Caenorhabditis elegans: one gene and its partner. The protein of the gene in region 1 purifies or fractionates together with the protein of each later gene. This does not show direct contact. Each region holds a gene or a part of one and is shown on either strand. Other genes may lie near its edges.

Region 1 (11,084 bases):
GAACCGTTGCTCCTCGTTCAAATTAGCATTTTTCCCATATTTCAAAGCTCTCTTTATTCAAATCCAGAAAAAAAAATCAATACAATAAGTCATCAAAATCCTAGTATGTCGTCTCCTTAGCCAGCATACCCTTCTGTTCCTCCTTCGTATACCAACACTTCCAGTTCTGGGGAATCTCAATCTTCTCCGTGAACACTTTCTTCATCTCACTCGGCTTCACCCAACGATACGCTCCACTAATTTGATATCCACTGATCATTGGCTCCATTTCAAGCGCCGAGTAAAGCTCATGTTCAGGCAAAAAGTCCTCGCGCTTCACGTATTGTCTTTTTGGACGTTTCGGATCCCTTGGCTTATCACCTAGACGCAACGGCTTGCGACGAATGGGCTTTCCGTCAAAGTACGGACTTCTCTCATCCCTCTCCTCACTTGCAGTCATCGCTTGATGAAGCCTGTCGGTTTTTCGAAGCTCCCGCATCTCGTGTCGATCACCATCCCGCTGCTTCTGAACATGTTCCACCATATACTCCATTCGGATGAACCGCTCCATCTCATATTCAAAGTACGTGGCCCAGTGACGGGCTTCGAGTTGTAGGTAGTCTTTCTGCTGAGCAATAACAACGTCTTGGTAGGCTTCGAGACGTTCAGGCATACGGACACGTAGCTCGCGGAGGGGCTTGAACCACTGAAAATTTGGCAAGTTTTTTTTTAAGTAAGTTGGAGTTCCCAATCTGGGGTGTCACAGTAATTTATAATGGGATAACTAACTAAAATATGAATCGACAACACAATTTGCTCACTTTTAAAGGTTTTTGTTAAATTTAAAAAAATAATCTAAGCCAGAACCTAATCTTGAGCCTAAGCCTGAGGCTACACCTAAACCTAAGCCTAAGCCTAAACCTAAGCCAAAGATTAAGTCTAGGCCTAGGCCTTAGCCTGAGCCTAAGCCTGAGCGTAAGCCTGAGCTGGAGCCTAAGCCGAAGCATAAGCCTGAGCCTAAGCCTAAGCCTAAGCCTAAACCTCAGCCTAAGCCTAAGCCTAAGCCTAAATCTATGTCCAAGCCTGAACATAAGCCTAAGCCAGAGCCTATACCTAAGCCTAAGCCTATCTAAGCTAAAGTCAAAGCCTAAGCCTAAACCTACATCTCAGCCCAAGCCTAAGCCTAAGCCTAAGCTTGAGTCTAAAATAAACTCACTCTGAACAATAACTCATAATGAACCATCCTCCAAAAGTAGACCTGATTGCAGCAAGTGATCGATTGACGCTTTGAAGCTCTTCCCGACTGACACATGGAATGGATGCTAAGATCATCATCCAGACGAGCCATCACCGCAGCCATCAGTGACAGAATCAGTGTCATCGCTCGTCCACTGCCGTGCTTGCTCATCACCACCACCGGATGATGCAGAGATTCTCGATTCATTCTCTCGCAAATTCTAACGTACGGCTGCCAATTTTCGGGGAGACAATCTTGATCCCATTCGAGCATATGCAGGATCTTCATCTGTTTTGTCTCGATTACCTGGTGATTGCTGGAATATATTGATTAGAAGTGTGGCCATTGGCAGGCAACTCACTGGACTAAGGTGACCTTGACAAGTCTCTGAATCCCTGCCGCCTTGTACTTCTTTTTGACGTCGGTGCACTCGACGATGTACTCTCTGTATGCATTTCGGCGGAATCTCGCTTTTTCTCCTTTGACCAGTGGGAACCACACTTCCGAAGCTTGAAGTCCTTCTGAACAGAAGCTTAACAATCGGAACATCTCAGAAAACTCACTTTCAAGGAACTGATTAAGCATCACCACGTACTTGACATCATTCTCGAACAACCAATGCCACAAGATTCCAACCGTCACATTGTACATCGGCGACGAGGCGCAAATCAACTTGTTCTTGTACTTGTGTGCCACCTTCTCAAACACCTCTTGCCACGGAAACACGTGACACGCGTCATAAAAGTCACAGTCGTCCGGCTGATCCGAGCTCATTCGGACTCGGGCCCAGTCGTGTGTGTAGCGTGGCGAGGAGCAACGATAAAGGTGCTCCCAGCGGTCCTGACAGCACGATTGAATGTAGTTGTCGATTTTGTCGACGGACTCGAACGCGATTTGAGTGATGGCCATCTCTTCGGATGGGTGGTTGCAGTATGACTCCTCAACGTACTTTCTAGCGTTGTCCACTGAAAATTTTTGGTTTTTTTTAGAAATCAAAGGAGTGTGTGGGTTCACTTCAAACGTCTATATCTCGGCGGAGATTCGAGAAATCAAAAAGTTGACAACTGACAAAATATAGCTCGTAATATTTTCAATATTTTATTATTTGACAATTTTTTAATAACTCTTTTCTGAACTGAGCTACAAAGAAGAATATGACACCTAGACACGGTCCCACCACTTCGTTGCTTCTTTAAACTTTAGACGTCTATATCTCAGCGGAGACTCGAGTAATCAAAAAGTTGTTAACTGTCCAAATGTAGCTCGTAAAATTTTCAATAGTTTCTCAGTTGACAACTTTTCAATATGTCTTCTGTCAACAGAGATATATTAGTTTAAAACAAAAAAGTGCGTGGGAGTGTGTTTAAACCCTTATATCTTTGTAGAGATTTGGGCAATCCAAAAATTGGCTCACATTTTAAAATGTCACGTGGTGTTAGGTTGTCCCATTACGGTTTGATCTACGAAAAATGCGGGATTTTTTTTTCTCAAAAAAAAAGTGACGTCAGCATGCGAAATCAGATGAGAAGTCAGAGTCTAATTTCCCGCAATTCTCGTAGATCTACGTAGCCCCGTGCACGGCCACAGCCGGGGTCGATTTACGGCGCGTAGCATGTCGCGTCGCGGCTCGGTTTTCAGTAGAGCACACATTTTCCCACACGTTGTCCAACAGGCGAGTGCCGATGGAGCGCGAAAAACATGAGGGAGGCCAGAAGCCCATTAAATTTTCAGTATTTCTCTTATCCGCGCAATTTTTAGAGCTCTTCTCTGAGCTATAGTCGTTTGAAAACTTACATGGTTTTCTGGATTCCTTCTCCTGATCCACCAACTTCTGATCCAGATTCTGCAATGCCATTTGAATACGGCACATCTCGACACGATTGACACGTTTCATAAGTATTTCATCCACGTTGTGCTCCATGTTTTTATCCCATATCTCCTTTGCAGCCAAGTCGGCCTTGATCTTCATTTTCTTTTCCGCTTCTTCGGATTTATCAGTCTGCTAAAAATGGTAAAAATATCAAGAAAAAAAAGCACTAAATTGAAAAAGATTCTCGAATGCTCACGTCCTCATGTTTCTGATGCTCTCGTCTTGCCATTCGATCAAATTGATCCTCATCTCGATATCCTGCCAAATTGAGTCGATTCTTCAGAGCCCACTTGTACTGGTTCTTCTTCCAAACTTCATGTCGGTTCAGGAATCCCACAGGCTCTGCGAGTTCTTGGTCGCCTTTCCATTCGGATTCTGAAATTTTAATCGGAGATGTTACAGGGGGGAATTAGCGGCCGAGCTTCGGCCCAGGGGTGTGCGGAAAATCTCGGCAAACTCGACAAATTTTCCGCAAATCGCACGTGCGGTTTGATCTACGAAAAATGCGGGAATATTTTTCCAGAAAATTGTGACGTCAGCACGCTCTCAACCATGCGAAATCAGATGAGATGTCTGCGTCTCTTCCCCCCGCATTTTTCAAAGATCAAAGCGAAATGGGACTTTCTGAATCCACGTGAAATCGCTGCTTCAGGAAGAACTACCGCGGGTGATTCTTACCAGACATCGTGACGTCACTTCTCGTCTCGTCCATCCAATCTGTCACATCCGACTGACTCGACAAACTCTGTGAGTTGATGCTTCTTAAATCATCCGACCCGTCGTGAAGATACGGTGGCTTGACGTCACGAAATGGTACCCACATGAGATTCGCCTCCTCTTGACGTGGCAGATCTTTGAGTTTATTGGCTTCGTCAGCCGGTGGAACATCCCAGATTCGACCCAAGTCGTCAATTTTTGTCTCTCCACGTGGACGTTTGGCTGGAATTGGCACCCAGCGAGCCGGTCGAGCTTCAAGGGCAAGGTTTTTGGGTGGACGAGGTGGAGCAGAAGGAGGATCCTTCTCCTTGCTCTTTTTTGTATCCTTTCCGGCTACAAATCGTGGCTCTTCCAGAGAAGTTTCCGATGCACCATAATCTGATTTTTCTTTCAGAACATAACTTCTCCAATAACCAGAATTTTGAATTCTCTGGAAATGTTTCTTTGCAGCTTGTGGTCCTGGAAGAGTCGGCAGTGATGGAACAAGGATCTGACTGGGGAATCCGGTCACAATTTCAGGATCATCTAGGTTCCAGGTGGCGAGATTTTTCTGAAAATAGTTTCAATTTGTAGCGCTTAAAATTTCCTACATTTTGTTAGTTAACAATTTTTCGATAGCTTGCCCCTCCGCAAAGATACACGCGCTTGAAGTTGGAGGCAGTGAAACAGTGTGGGAGGGGGAGAGACGCAGACAGCGCGCACACTGCGTCTCCCTCCCCTCCAAACTCTCTCGTTCTCTATCTTTGCAGGGGTGTATCTCTGCGAGGAAGAGAGCTATCAAAAAACTGTCAACTAGCGAATTGTAGGAAATTTTAAGGGCTATCACTAACTTACCATGAATTTATTGCCTTCGTTGAGAGAAAACGTGGTATCAGTGAAACAGCTTCCGTCCTCCTCGCTCTCGAACTCATTCGCAAAATGTTTGCTCAAATTGAATGGCCTCCCTGTGGCGGTCTTCTCAACAATGGGCCAACGACGTTTGACACGATGACGGGGGTCATCTGAAAAAAAACTTCATATCTTAGTTCGGCGCTGAGATATTGGAAAAGTTTCAAAGAGTAAAATATAGCTCGTGCAATTGCCTACATTTTGTTAGTTGATAACTTTTTGAAAACGCTAATGCCTGCAGAGTTATACTAAATTATATAAATGAATTAAACGAAGAAAATGAAAAGCCCTTGAAATTCTATCCAAATCGGTAGTTGGAAATTTTTCAATGGCTTCAATCCTCGCGGAGATATACGCGTTTGAAGTTAGAGGACGTGAGACAGCGTGGGAGGAGGGGAGGCGCAGAGCGCACGCACGCGCACAATCTCTCATTCTCCCACACTCTCTCTTCCTTCTAACTTTGAGCGCTCGTATCTCTGCGGGGAATAGAGTTATCAAAAAGCTGTCAACTAACGAAATATCGGAAATTTCATCAAAAATTCACAAACCTTCGCGGATCTTGTACACCTCTCCAACATTGGCCAATAAAGTCTCCGAAGAGATCGAGTAGACAGAGCAATCAGTTTCAATTTCCGAGTATTTGAAGTTCGGTGCTTGTTCTGCGTCGAATAAGGGACCCTCCTTGTAACAACGTGATCCAACTTTGGCCTTTGGACTGGGAGCAGTGGGAATGTCGGAGAAGCTCACAAGGGGCGGAGCTTGGAGCAACGGGAGCTGGGCTTCTGGAAAATACTCAATTATTTGGATTATTTCATAAAAACGTCAAAATCTTGGCGGGGAATTCATGTATCAAAAAATTTTCAACTAACAAAATGTAGCTCTTGAAATTCTCTATATTTGCTCAGTTAACAGAGTTTTGATACCTCTTCTCCCCGAGCAGATATATAGCCATTTTGAAGTGAGAGAGGGGAGACGCAGACGAGCGCGCTTCCTGCGTCTCCCCCACCCTAAGCTATTAAACTTTGAGAGCTGATAACTACGCGGCAAACGGGCAGAATATCTAAAATTGTACCTTCATCCTCATCGTTTTCGTAGAAAATGCCACTCTGCCGGCGTTCCAAGTCATCAAAAACCATTTGAATCTCCTGCTCGTCGAGCTCCTCCTCGTCAGGTGACTCATCGTCAGTTTCCAGAAGAACTCTAAGATGCTCCGGGATGTGCCTGACAAAGATACCTGGCTCATTTCCAAGTTTCTTCGACAGAGCTTTGACCCGTCTAGCAATTATCAAACACTCCTCGAATTGAATGGTGCTTGGCATCGCGTGGAGCAGCTCCTCATCCCATCTTGGATGGATTCCGAACTCGGATTTGAGATTTTGAATGTCCTCGTTGATTTTTTTGAAATTTGCGTCTTCAGAAACCTCGAAAGTTGCTTCATTCTTGGAAATAGCCGCTGAAAATTGAAAAATCCTTGCAACTAAAAGAGATATCAAAAAATTATCAACTAGTGAAATATTCTACGTTAAATTCTGCACATTATCTTGGTTGAAAATTTTTTTCTAGCTCTCCTCCCCGCGGAGATATCCTCACTTGAAGTGAGAAGAGCGAGAGAGTGTGGGAGGGGGAGAGACGCAGTGTGTACGCGCCGCCTGCGTCTCTCCTCCTCCCACGCTCTCTCCTTCGCTCAGCTTCAAAGACGTATATCTCCGCTGAGAATGGAGCTATAATTCCAACTAACAAAATGTTGCAAATTTTAAGGCCTACAATTCTGCAGTCTCACCTAAGTGTTTTTCTCCCCCAGTCGATTGCTTTTTGACTTTCAATCTAATCCATTTTCCAGAATTTATCGATTTTTCCACTTCTTCATCAGATGACGCCACAAGGTTATCCGATTTTTCTCGTTTTTTCCGCAATTTTTTGGTTTTTACAGGAGATTTGTGAGCGATCATTTTTCCAGCTTCTGCTCTTTCAGCAACATTTTGGTGTGCTGAAAGATTAATATTCTCAAAGAAAAATCTTCAAAATTGCTGAAATTCCAAATAGAGCGCGCTTGCAACACCACAAATTCAAATTTTTGCCTTATTTTCTGGCGAAAATCGATAAATATCATGTAATTGTCGCTGGAGCGCCCTTGCACACAGTTACTTTTTTAATGATTTCGGCTGTTTTTATTGAGTTGCAAGAAAAATCGATAAAAGTCAATAATCGATTTTTTACCTGAACCCTAAAAATTGTTGAATTCTCAATAGAGCGCACTTCCCTTTCGCTGAAAACTCACAATTTTCCACGTCACCAAGCTGGAATATGGGATTCATTTCGTTTTTGAAAATTTGATATGATGATAAACGAAATTGATATGAGGAATAAATCAAAAATCGATTTTTTTTAACTTTTGGAAAGCAATTTTTTCAAAATAGAAAAAAATAAATTTCACGTTTTTATTCAATTTTTAAGATGACAAAAACAATTATTTTAAAATTTTTCCGTACAAAAATCAATAAACCCATTAATTATCTATAGAGCGCGCTTGCGACACTGCAGAATTTTGAATTTTGCAAGATTTTCTACAAGTTTTCTCGTTATAATCAATAATCAGATATGATATCAGACTAATTTTCACTCAGAAATTCAAAAAAACACCACAAGATTCCTGAAATTGTCGTTAGAGCGCGTTTGCTCCCAAAATATTTTTCTGTCAGTTTTCGATAGAACTTGCTGATTTTTGGCTGTTCTTAACAAGTTTTACAAAAAAGATCAATATTTGAATCGATTTTTACTCGAAAATTACGAGACGACCCTCAACATTGATGAATTCTCAATAGAGCGCACTTTCCTTTCGCCGCAAACTCACAATTTTCCACGTCACCAAGCTGGAATATGGGATCCATTTCGTTTTTGAAAATTTTGATATGATAATAAACGATATTGATATGAGGAATAAATCAAAAATCTATTTTTTTTAACTTTTGGAAAGCAATTTTTTTTCAAAATAAAAAAAAATAAATTTCACGTTTTTATTCAATTTTTAAGATGACAAAAAAAATCATTTTTACAATTTTCCGTATAAAAATCAATAAAGCAATAAATCAATAAATCACATCAATAAATACATAAACATAGAAGATTTCCAGCTTAAACTCGTCCATTTTGCACATTTTTCGACGAATTTGGAGCCATTAGCAGTTTTCCGGCAATGAATAGGCTGCTCACAATTATAAAAAGCCCGATGATCCCGAAAATTACGCTGAAAATCGATTTTTAGACGTCGTGGTGGCCGAGGTGAAAACTAGGCCATCAAGGGGAAAAATGCTTACATAGCCCATGTTTCGAAATGGAAACAGCATTGGAATGGATTGTCGTCACAACAGGAGTAGTAATGGACGAAGGAATCCGTTGGACAGCTGGAAAAAAAACAAGAAAATTCTTAAAAATTTTGAATTCCGCGCGCAATTTTTCGGGAAAAAACTTGAAATTCTCAATGGAGCGCACTTGCACGTGGTGGCAGAGTTCTCAACTCGTCTCACATGCTGACGTCACATTTTTAGGCGAAAACTTCCCGCATTTTTTGTAGATCAAACCTTAATGGGACAGCCTGGCACTTGTGTAGCAGAAAAAATTGAAGTTTTCAGTGGTAATAACTGTTTTAACTAATTATTACTTGGACAATCAACTAATCACTCGATTTCTCGTTAAATTTCTCATTAGAGCGAGTTTGCAACACACATTTCGAAAAAATTGAACTTTTCGAATGAAAATTGCTCGTTTTTGACTAATTTCACTTCACAAATTCGAAAAATGAACGATTTTGAGTCGAAAACTATAAGAAAAGCGTCAAAACTTCAAAATTATCATTAGAGCGCGCTTGCAACGCAGATTCGTTTGAAAATTTTAAATTTCAGAGGTATATTGGCTGATTTTTGCTACTTTAACAGAAATTCAGCATGAAAAATAGGAGTTAAATCGACTTTTAAAGGAAAAATCAATAAATTTGACTGTGAATTTCGAAATTTGGGTTTGTTGCAGGCGCGCTCTAATGAGAATTCGATTAATTTGTATTTTTTAATCGATAGAAAATCGATAAAAATCGAGGTGTCAGAATGTCCCATTTTGGTTTGATCTTCGAAAATGCGGGAGAAGAGAAGGAGACTTTTCAACTGATTTCGCACGGTTAAAAGTGTGCTGACGTCACATTTTCCTCAGGGAAAAAATCCCGCATTTTTTGTAGATCAAACCGCATGTGTGTCTAAAAATATTTAAATTTTGTAGGTTTTACGCTGCAACTGCGCCCTATTGAGAATCCGATTTTTTTGAATTTAGGATGAAAAAACGACAAAAAAACTAACTCCTCGCCAACCGCCATGCCGGGCATCATCATCATCGGATTCATAAACGGACATGACCATACAGAAGGTGTTGAAAGTACACTAACTGGGACGAAAACTAATAAAATCACGGGAATTTTGGACATTTTTCTGGTATAGGAAATACAGAATTGCGCGAATCAGTGCGCGAATCAAAATATTTTTTCGACAAAAGTAAAATCGAGGGCGGGGAAGGATTTGGATGATGACACACACACAGACCGGCAAAGTATTACGCCATTTTTACAAAAAAAAACAGCGAAAAGTGGGGGGCAGTTTCAGTTGATCGACTCTCGCGTCGAAAAATATCCAGTTCAGTTATTTCTGGGTCTCCACACGATTCCACACTTTTTCCTTGACGGGGCGATTATTGTGGTTATATGGCGATTGGATGCGGAAATTACCGGCGTCGGGATTTGTTTGGAAAGTGAAAATTGGAGAAAAAAAGCAGTAAAATTGGGGAATTTTTGATTTTTCAGGCTGTAATTCTTTTTTTCCTGGATTTTTCAAAATTTATATTGAGAAAAATATTTTAAAATCTGCTTTTTCTGTAAAATTTCACTTAAATCTCCAAAAATCTATATTTTTGCACTACCGTATCCCAAAGGCGCGTGCTCTACTCTTTGTGATAGGTCTCGCCACGATATCCATTGTTGGGTCGTAAACTCGGCGAAGAACCTGGAAATTAATTGGAATTTGAAAAAAAAATTTGGAAAAAATTCTGAAACTTGTTTTATCAGATTTTCAATTACTTAAATCTGAAAACTTCCCTCAAAAAGTACGGAAATACTATTTTAAATACCGTAACCCAAAGGCGCATGCATTGATCCCTCAATCGGGTCTCGCCACGACTTTGTCTACCGTACTATTTTTAGCGGATTTTTTTTCACTTTATTTTCACCGGTTTTTCGCGATTTTTCACTCATTTTCCATCGATTTTTCGCGTTTTTTCGCGTTTTTTCACACATTTTTCACACATTTTTCATGAAAAATTCAATTTTCTCCATTATTTTTCTAATTTCAGACATTTTTACAGCGAAAAGTGGACGGAAAAAGCGAAGCGATGGAAGCCCCGCCGATTCCATCACTGATCGCAATGCAACTCGATCGGCCAGCAATCAGTAGGTTTTTAAGAAGCTGAAATTAGAAAAAACGCGAAAAAAACTGGAAAAATCTGCTGAAAACACAAAAATTAGGTGAAAAAATATGTAATTTCCGCATTTTAATTCAAATTTTTTTTAAATTTTCACATTTCTTCTCAGATTTTTCGGCGGAATTTATAACTTGGCCAGTTGCCAACACATTCTGTTCCTCCAAATGACCTCACCCTCTTCGGACCGTCTGATTCTCTGCTCTCTCCGATTATTCCAACGCATTTTCGAAGATCTCTCGTCGGTGTGCTCTCGTCGTCTGATTCTCTGCATTTCCCAGTGTATTTCACGTGTGTCCAACTCGACCCTACCGACCGCGGCAGCCCGTTCGCTTTTTTCTCCTCGAAGTCTTCCCATCGGCAGACCCACATGGTTTTTTTCGACACGTTTTGCGTGGTTTTCAGCGCCAAAAACTGTAATTTGGCGGGGGAAGCTGCTAAAAACTCACAAAAACGTTTTTTTTAGACCTAAAATAGGCTAAAATCCATGCTTTTAGTGATTTTTTGCCCTAGAAAAAGCCAATTTTTCAGTTTTTTCTCGAAATATACGAGAAAACGCTGAAAATTTTATAGAATTTTCGAATTTTGCTGTAATTTACGCGGAATTTTTACATTTTTCTACCGGAAATTGAAGTTTTCCAGCAAAATTCAACGCTTTACTGACTTTTCACAGAAAAATCCCATAAATTCCCAAAATCAACGAAACTTTTCCATTTTTTCGTAAAAAATGCCAAATTTACTCGAAATTTTCTGCAAAAAAGTGATTTTTCTTGTGGAAATCAAGCTTTTCAGCGAGAAATTCAGATTTTCACTGTTCTCGGACTGAAAAATCGTAAATATTTAATTTTTTAAAACAAAAAATGCCAATTTTCACACAGGAAG
Region 2 (6,605 bases), on another chromosome or scaffold:
CTAGTCTTCTATGAACTACGAAATTTGCAGACTATTGATTTTCAGAAAAAAAAACTAATTATAAACAAGCGTATCTTTGCTTACATAAACATGGTGTGATTCAATTCGTTCAGTAACATACATACATCAGTTTTAGAAATAGAACAGTGACAGTTCTATTTTAAGAAAATTGCACTTGTTCACATGACATTGCAGCGCAACTTGAGCAACGTGACACGGTTTGTGTTGACCTGAAAACGACAAACTTGCAAATTGAATTGCTTCCTAATAAGATATGAATAACGGTCTTTCAATTGAAACACGCCGAAATAACCAACGGAATGTCCAATGATGCACTGTTCTAACAATATTGCACGTAACGGACCCTCTCCAATTCACGTGCTATTGTACCCACTTAATCGTTCTTTGACGTTGACACGTCAATGAAGAGAGTATACTCGCCTTTTTTCCTCGACCCTTAAAACCCACACAGCGTGTAATAAACGCGTTAGCTGCCATCACATTTCTAAAAATCTGCACGCAAATACCTTTGGAGCCCTCCCTTCCGGGGTACTGTATCAGAAGTAAATTGCAATGAAAACCTTTTTCGCCTGACAATTCAAAAAGTGCATCGATGATTTTTTCGAGAAAATGTGATTGAAAACAGCATACAATAAAATTGGCAACATTTTTCTTATGGGGAAAATTGAAAACTTGAGGAAGACAGTTCAGGAAGGGCACGATAAAAAATTGAAGTGATGCATAACTTTTGCGATGAACAGGGGGCCAAGCTTTGGCTTAACTCGGACGCAGCTTGAATTAAGTCTTTCCAAGTTTTTCACAAACCATGCCAGTTAGATAAAGTTGGGAAACAAATTGGGAAACAAATTCGTAATACTACATTTTAGATATCGACCACTATAACAAAAGAGTTCCAATTATATAAAGAATGTTATTTAATTTTTTACATTGCATGCTTACTCCAATCATACAAAACGAACACGAACACAATATCAAGGTTCGCCCTTTGCCCAGCCAAACCTATGACATTTTTCCTTCTCATTTAATGTACTTTCACCCGGTAAACTATGCTAGACATCAACCGTTATGACGATTACGAAGTCGCATAGTCTACTTGTTCCAGCATGGTTTATCAGCAAACACTGCACATTTTTGGTGTGACCATATTTTATCAATCACATTGTGCACTCTAGAGAGCGGAAATATTACGATGATTTGTGATTTAAGGTTTGAATTTAGGAATGCATTTCACTAGGTATTTTCAAAGAAAAGGGAACATTTTTCTCAATTTTTTGTAATCTTCACTCAATGGGCTACGGGTTCATGTTTAGATATAAACCACTAGTTTTTTGGAATTGTATGTTTAAAGTATTCTCCTAAAACAAAGACGACCAGTATATCCTAACTCATTTAATTGAAAGTTAATTTAGTAAATTATTAAGCTAATGGAAACTGGTAATGGTTTTGTTTCTCCAGAAAAAGCAAATAAGGATATATGTATTTATACCTTGAAAAGTAGAAACACATGAAAATGAAATAAGTTAGATAACTTAAATTGTTGAATATATACATAAATAAAATAATGTTACTTTTTCAATTTAGAGACCAATAGATCGTGCAGCATACTGATGGGTGGAATGCATTGGCGTCCCCAATGCAGATTTCATGTCAGCCAAACGCAACTTTTTCCAATCTGGGTTCGTTCCGAACGCTTGAGCAAGACGAGCAATTTGGACAAGTGATTCTGGAGAGATTCTGAGATGATCGATGGTCACAGAGCGGCCGTCGGAAGAGCACGGAGGAATGTCGCGGGCGGATAGCTGAAATCAGTTTGAAAATAATTTAATTGTTCATTCTACGATTAAAGATTGTCAGGGTAATATTCGAACGTTTTTGACACTCTGAAGCTATTACTTAAGTAGATTTTTCAGGGTAGATTTTTTTTATTAAATTAATTTTTAAAGCAACTAACCGGATTACTGTATCCACTGCTTCCAGTTCCAGACTGAAGGCTTCTGGCCAGCATTTGAAAGTCAGGATCGTTAAAGAGGGTCTGTGCACTTTGTTTTACTTCTAATGGCAAATTATTGAGGGTTGGTTGCTCCGGAACTGGAGCAGGTGCAGCTGTTGATGGAGAAGGATATTGTGAAAGTTGGGGCATCTGAAACGTTTAATTTTTTAATTTTAATTTAACATTCTTCTATTCTCAACAACTTATTTTCATCTCGAATAGTTCTCAGTCAAAAATGAAGCAAGAATTTGAGAATTCAAATACTTCCGTAGGATCACACTCTGCACCGGTTCACAAACAATGCTAAACTATACTAATTGTGAGTGCTGAATGTGTACATGCCTCTAGCAAGAACTATCTTATTATTTTTGTGTTTGTTAATAAAAATATATGCGAATTAAAAAGTAAAATAAAAATAAACTAAACCAACTATTTAAGAATAGGCTATATCTTAATTAACTCTTCTCGAATGCACAAAAATTAGGCACTACGTATTAAGTATAATTTTTTACAATTTGAATGTACAGTAATTTTTCTTGGCACTCACGGCTTGTTGAGGTCCGTATACATATCCGTGGTGAGCCGATAATTGAGGAACCGTCTGTGATGGCTTGATCTCCTGCTGAGCAGGATATTGCTGGGCGGTTTGAGTGTACTGCAAATCATAAAAACTGAAAATAGAAAACTGATATTCATACCTGTTGTTGATTACTTGTTGGGAAGGCCGCAACAAAAGCCAGGTATGAAACTGCTAAAACTGCGAACTTTAACATTGGTGCAATTTTACAGCCAGAAAAAAATTAATATTTGCTGGATATCGTTACTTCTGCGTAGCTAGAAGTCGACTTTGTTGTTCGTTGTGAAAAGTGCTCTGATCTTGCCAGGCGGTTGCCAACCTTTTATATTCGCGCCTGAATACTGGCAAACTTCCTGTTAAGACAAACAACCGCATTTGTTGATTGTTGTTCGGGAGCAAGTGGTCAGAGGCGCTTACCTGTCTTAAGTCGCTTAACAGAAAACAGAACAAGACGGATTTTGTTTGAGTCTGTCCCCTTCGTCTGCCGGTAGGAAACAGTGGTTTGTGGCAATTGAGCAAAAAGTTCAGGGTCTGTTCCTTTCATATTCCACCTGGTGAATGTAGTCTTATGTTGCAAACAATGAGTTTGATAAACGTCATTCTCAATCAGTCCGCAAAATTTCAATTACAATGGTCATTGTTTCACTTGATTATTTGGTTTTTTGATATTTAGCAAATCTCGAACATTCTTGCGATTTTTTATGCGGGACAGATTTAATAGCAAAAATTCAGTAAGCAAAGCAACTAGAAAAAATGAATTTTTGAGAAATAAAATAGAAAACTGAAAATGGATTGCACTAAATATGCATTGAAATTCATATTTTCAAGATGTTGTTGTCGACAATTTAAAAGAGATATGTTTAAATATTTTCAATGAGCATACTCTTCCAATGTTAATTTGCTGTATTATTCTACTGCGTTTCAAATTGTAAATTCACCAGAAGTGTATAACATTTGTCAAAACCAAAGCAGGTAAAATACATTGTACATAATCTGCAAATTTTGTTTTGAAATTGTCAACTACAATTTAAAAAAAACTGTTCATTTTTTTTTTGACACGACGTGAGAAACAATGTACTGGGACAACGAAAAATCTACCAAATATAATTAGACCGGTATTCGCATTAATATGTCGATGAGAAAAACAATTCTTTGAGAAATCGGGAACAGGAAAAGTATGTAGAACTCGTGAAGTGATGTAGTAACATTTACAGTTTTTAAAACATTGTTAAAGAGCATCTAACTAATATCTTTGGAAATGAAGGACAAAAGCATCTGAACCAGAAAATCTACCAGATTTTGAAAATACTACCAGGAGGTGTGGGAATTGAAAAAAAAACGGAGCTATAAAGTCAAAGGTGAAATATGAAAATGCAGTTTATTTAGCTGAGAACTTTGGAAGTTGGACGTTTGTGCATATTGGAGAAGATTCAGATAACTAACATCTTTTTTTGGCAGATGGTTCTCCTGCCTCGGTAGCATTACTGAAATTTATGATTTCTTTATTGATTAATGATAGAAAAGTTGAAAAAATTCTACGGGGCTACTTAAAAATAAAAATAAAAAACTTGTTTACTGGAAAAATACAAAAGGCATACTTTTTGTTTCAAAATCTTTTGAACCAAAATCATCACCAAAACGCGAAGAAAATTGAGAAAAAAGTGTGGGAAATTTTCACAAAGCTTTTGTTTCGAAAAGCTTCACAAATCACAGTTTTTTTGAAGGGACAAAAAATATATCAACATATTTTTCAAGTCTGACCCTTATTGAACTTGAATTAAACAATTTAAAAAACCCCACTTTTCTTTCTTCTCGTCATCTCTGTGTGTATTTTGATTTTGGTCCCGTTTTTTCATTGTTGGCGTCGCCAATTGTGTGGAGAGCCTGAAACTTGAATACTACGTATATGCGCATAATCTGAGGTTTTTGGAACATGATTTCAGAATACTAAGCTTGTCAAGAAGTGCGATTGTTTATACAGGTGTTGGGTTTGATTTTTGAGGTTGATATTCGAAATAGAGTGTTTAAATAAGTTATAGAATGGGGACAATCGATGATTAAAATCCTTTAACCCTGCGTTTGAGTACAATTTTTTTTCGAAACGGAGTCATGCCATGTGTGTTCTATTTTGTTTTTTTAGTAATTTCAACAAGATCACATTTCTACAAAATGGTCTTGCCACGCGCGCTCCTTAAAAGTTGATATTTTTATTTAATGGATACGTTTTTAATGTGTTTTGAAAAATGCAATTTTTAGAAATATGAACTTTGATTTTTTTAAACATGATTTTTCAGAAGTATACATACAAATTATTTTCAAAATGAATGCAAAGTGAGCGGTGCCACTGGTTTTCATAGAAAAACTATTACATACATAAAACGCTTAATTTACAGAATTTACAGTTCAACTGTCGATTTACGCATTTATGTTTTGACACAAATTTTTAAATCTGAAAATGAGACTCACATTGGTCCAGTATACGTCGGAGGGACTTTCAAGTCTGCAGGTGTGTCTAGATTCGATACAAACGGATCGATGTCCATTTCGATAACTGCCTTTTCGCCAAACATTATGCTGCGACGTTGAGAGCTATTCATGATGTGGTGCTCTCTTACTGAGGAAGCATGAAAAATGAGGATGAATATGTAGGGGCAGTTTCCGAAGGAGAAGAGCGGCGAAGGGGAAAAGTTGTTTCTTGAAAAGAAGTATGGATGAATGTATGCGAAATGTAAACGAAGAAAAGGCAAAAAAGGAGGGGGAGTAAAAAAGGAATGAAGCGAAAAAAAATGAAAAAAGGAAGAAGAAAAAGAGAGAAATGAAAAATTCATGTGCTGAACACAGACTGAGCGAAAGATTGAGTAGATCAACTTGGCTGGAAAATTGGTGAAAATTAAGCTGTCACTTGTAAATTGGAAAAAGGGGGCGGTAGTGAACAGACTTTTCAGCTGGGAACAATGTCTTTGGTTTAGAATATTTTGTTTAGTGTTCAACATATTTAGTTTGTGTCTATCAAAACTAAGTAAAATTAGAGATCATCACTGTTGTCAGGATTACTGTAGACTGACTTAAAACTTTTATAACCTTCTTTTCTGAAATATTTAAACGAAATTTTCAGCGTTCTTCCTATAGGTTTTGTCAATTGAAAAACAACAGCCAGCATATCCTGTTTTCTAAATTGGGAAATGTTTTTTGGCTTGCTGTCTTTTTGTGATGTCAAAAAAATTTAATTTTGCACATCTTTAGGAAAATTAGATTTTTGCACTTTTTGGAAAGGTTTCAGATTCAGTAAGTAGACGTTTCTAACTAACAGCTTATTGTCTAAAAATGTAAATATTATAAATTAAGTACGTTTTTTTTTATTGAGCTACGTTACAGTTTTAAATGACGATACCCCATCTTCAACTACTGCTTTACAAGGGAACTCTTGTGAGCAATTGGTTTTGCTAAGAGCACTCAAGTTTTATTACTTTTGGTTAATAGTTCCTTTGACAAAAAGTGTGTTTTTTTTTCAAAAGCAATACCAACTTTTTAATAAATGGTATTCGAAAAACAAAAAAAAACTCTGCTGGTCCACATTTAAGAAACAAATGCTAACCCCTATTAAGAAAAGTATTTTTCTAGAAAATGTCTAACCACTCTGTTTTTTGCATAACCTCATAGGACAATACGCGAGAGATAAGAGAAACAGAGAGGAAAAGCCTAGCTCATCACAATTGCAGTTCCACGTGAAACCCTGGGACCCTTGAAAATCATAGATCGGAAGCCTTTACTGCCCAGTTCCTCGTTACAACTTGAAAACAACTGTGATAATCGGGGCTAGGCAAACGAGAGAAAAAGCAATACACAAACAAAACTTCTGTTTTTCTTCTTCTTCTCATTTGTTCTCTCTTTTTAATGTGCCTGCTGAATTTATGTAGAATATCATTAGCAATGCAGAGAAAACTTATTGAAAAATGAATGCCAAACAACTCAGCGTATGATTAATAGTGATGTTGTAATATTCTGATGTTCGTTGAC

Evidence for each region. The genes of interacting proteins can lie anywhere in the genome.
Region 2: the proteins of R10F2.6 (region 1) and C49F8.15 fractionate together in Caenorhabditis elegans (co-fractionation; one large-scale study listed by BioGRID). This does not show direct contact.

What each region holds. Positions count from the first base shown.
Region 1 is NC_003281.10:2,937,003-2,948,086, forward strand, and holds R10F2.6 (Tyrosine-protein phosphatase domain-containing protein), read right to left. Parts: upstream 7,094-11,084; 5' UTR 7,007-7,093; coding exon 6,970-7,006; intron 6,679-6,969; coding exon 6,472-6,678; intron 6,145-6,471; coding exon 5,764-6,144; intron 5,474-5,763; coding exon 5,240-5,473; intron 4,805-5,239; coding exon 4,638-4,804; intron 4,354-4,637; coding exon 3,765-4,353; intron 3,462-3,764; coding exon 3,283-3,461; intron 3,219-3,282; coding exon 3,011-3,218; intron 2,182-3,010; coding exon 1,780-2,181; intron 1,738-1,779; coding exon 1,578-1,737; intron 1,533-1,577; coding exon 1,196-1,532; intron 686-1,195; coding exon 101-685; 3' UTR 38-100; downstream 1-37. Other genes in the region: H05C05.4 (DUF2650 domain-containing protein), read right to left, coding at 7,824-7,935, 8,006-8,092, 9,035-9,159; H05C05.1 (RRM domain-containing protein), read left to right, coding at 10,116-10,173.
Region 2 is NC_003284.9:13,359,714-13,366,318, forward strand, and holds C49F8.15 (uncharacterized protein), read right to left. Parts: upstream 2,874-6,605; 5' UTR 2,785-2,873; coding exon 2,710-2,784; intron 2,667-2,709; coding exon 2,559-2,666; intron 2,162-2,558; coding exon 1,973-2,161; intron 1,821-1,972; coding exon 1,599-1,820; 3' UTR 1,488-1,598; downstream 1-1,487. Other genes in the region: C49F8.1 (Miff domain-containing protein), read right to left, coding at 4,027-4,072, 4,389-4,472, 5,055-5,185.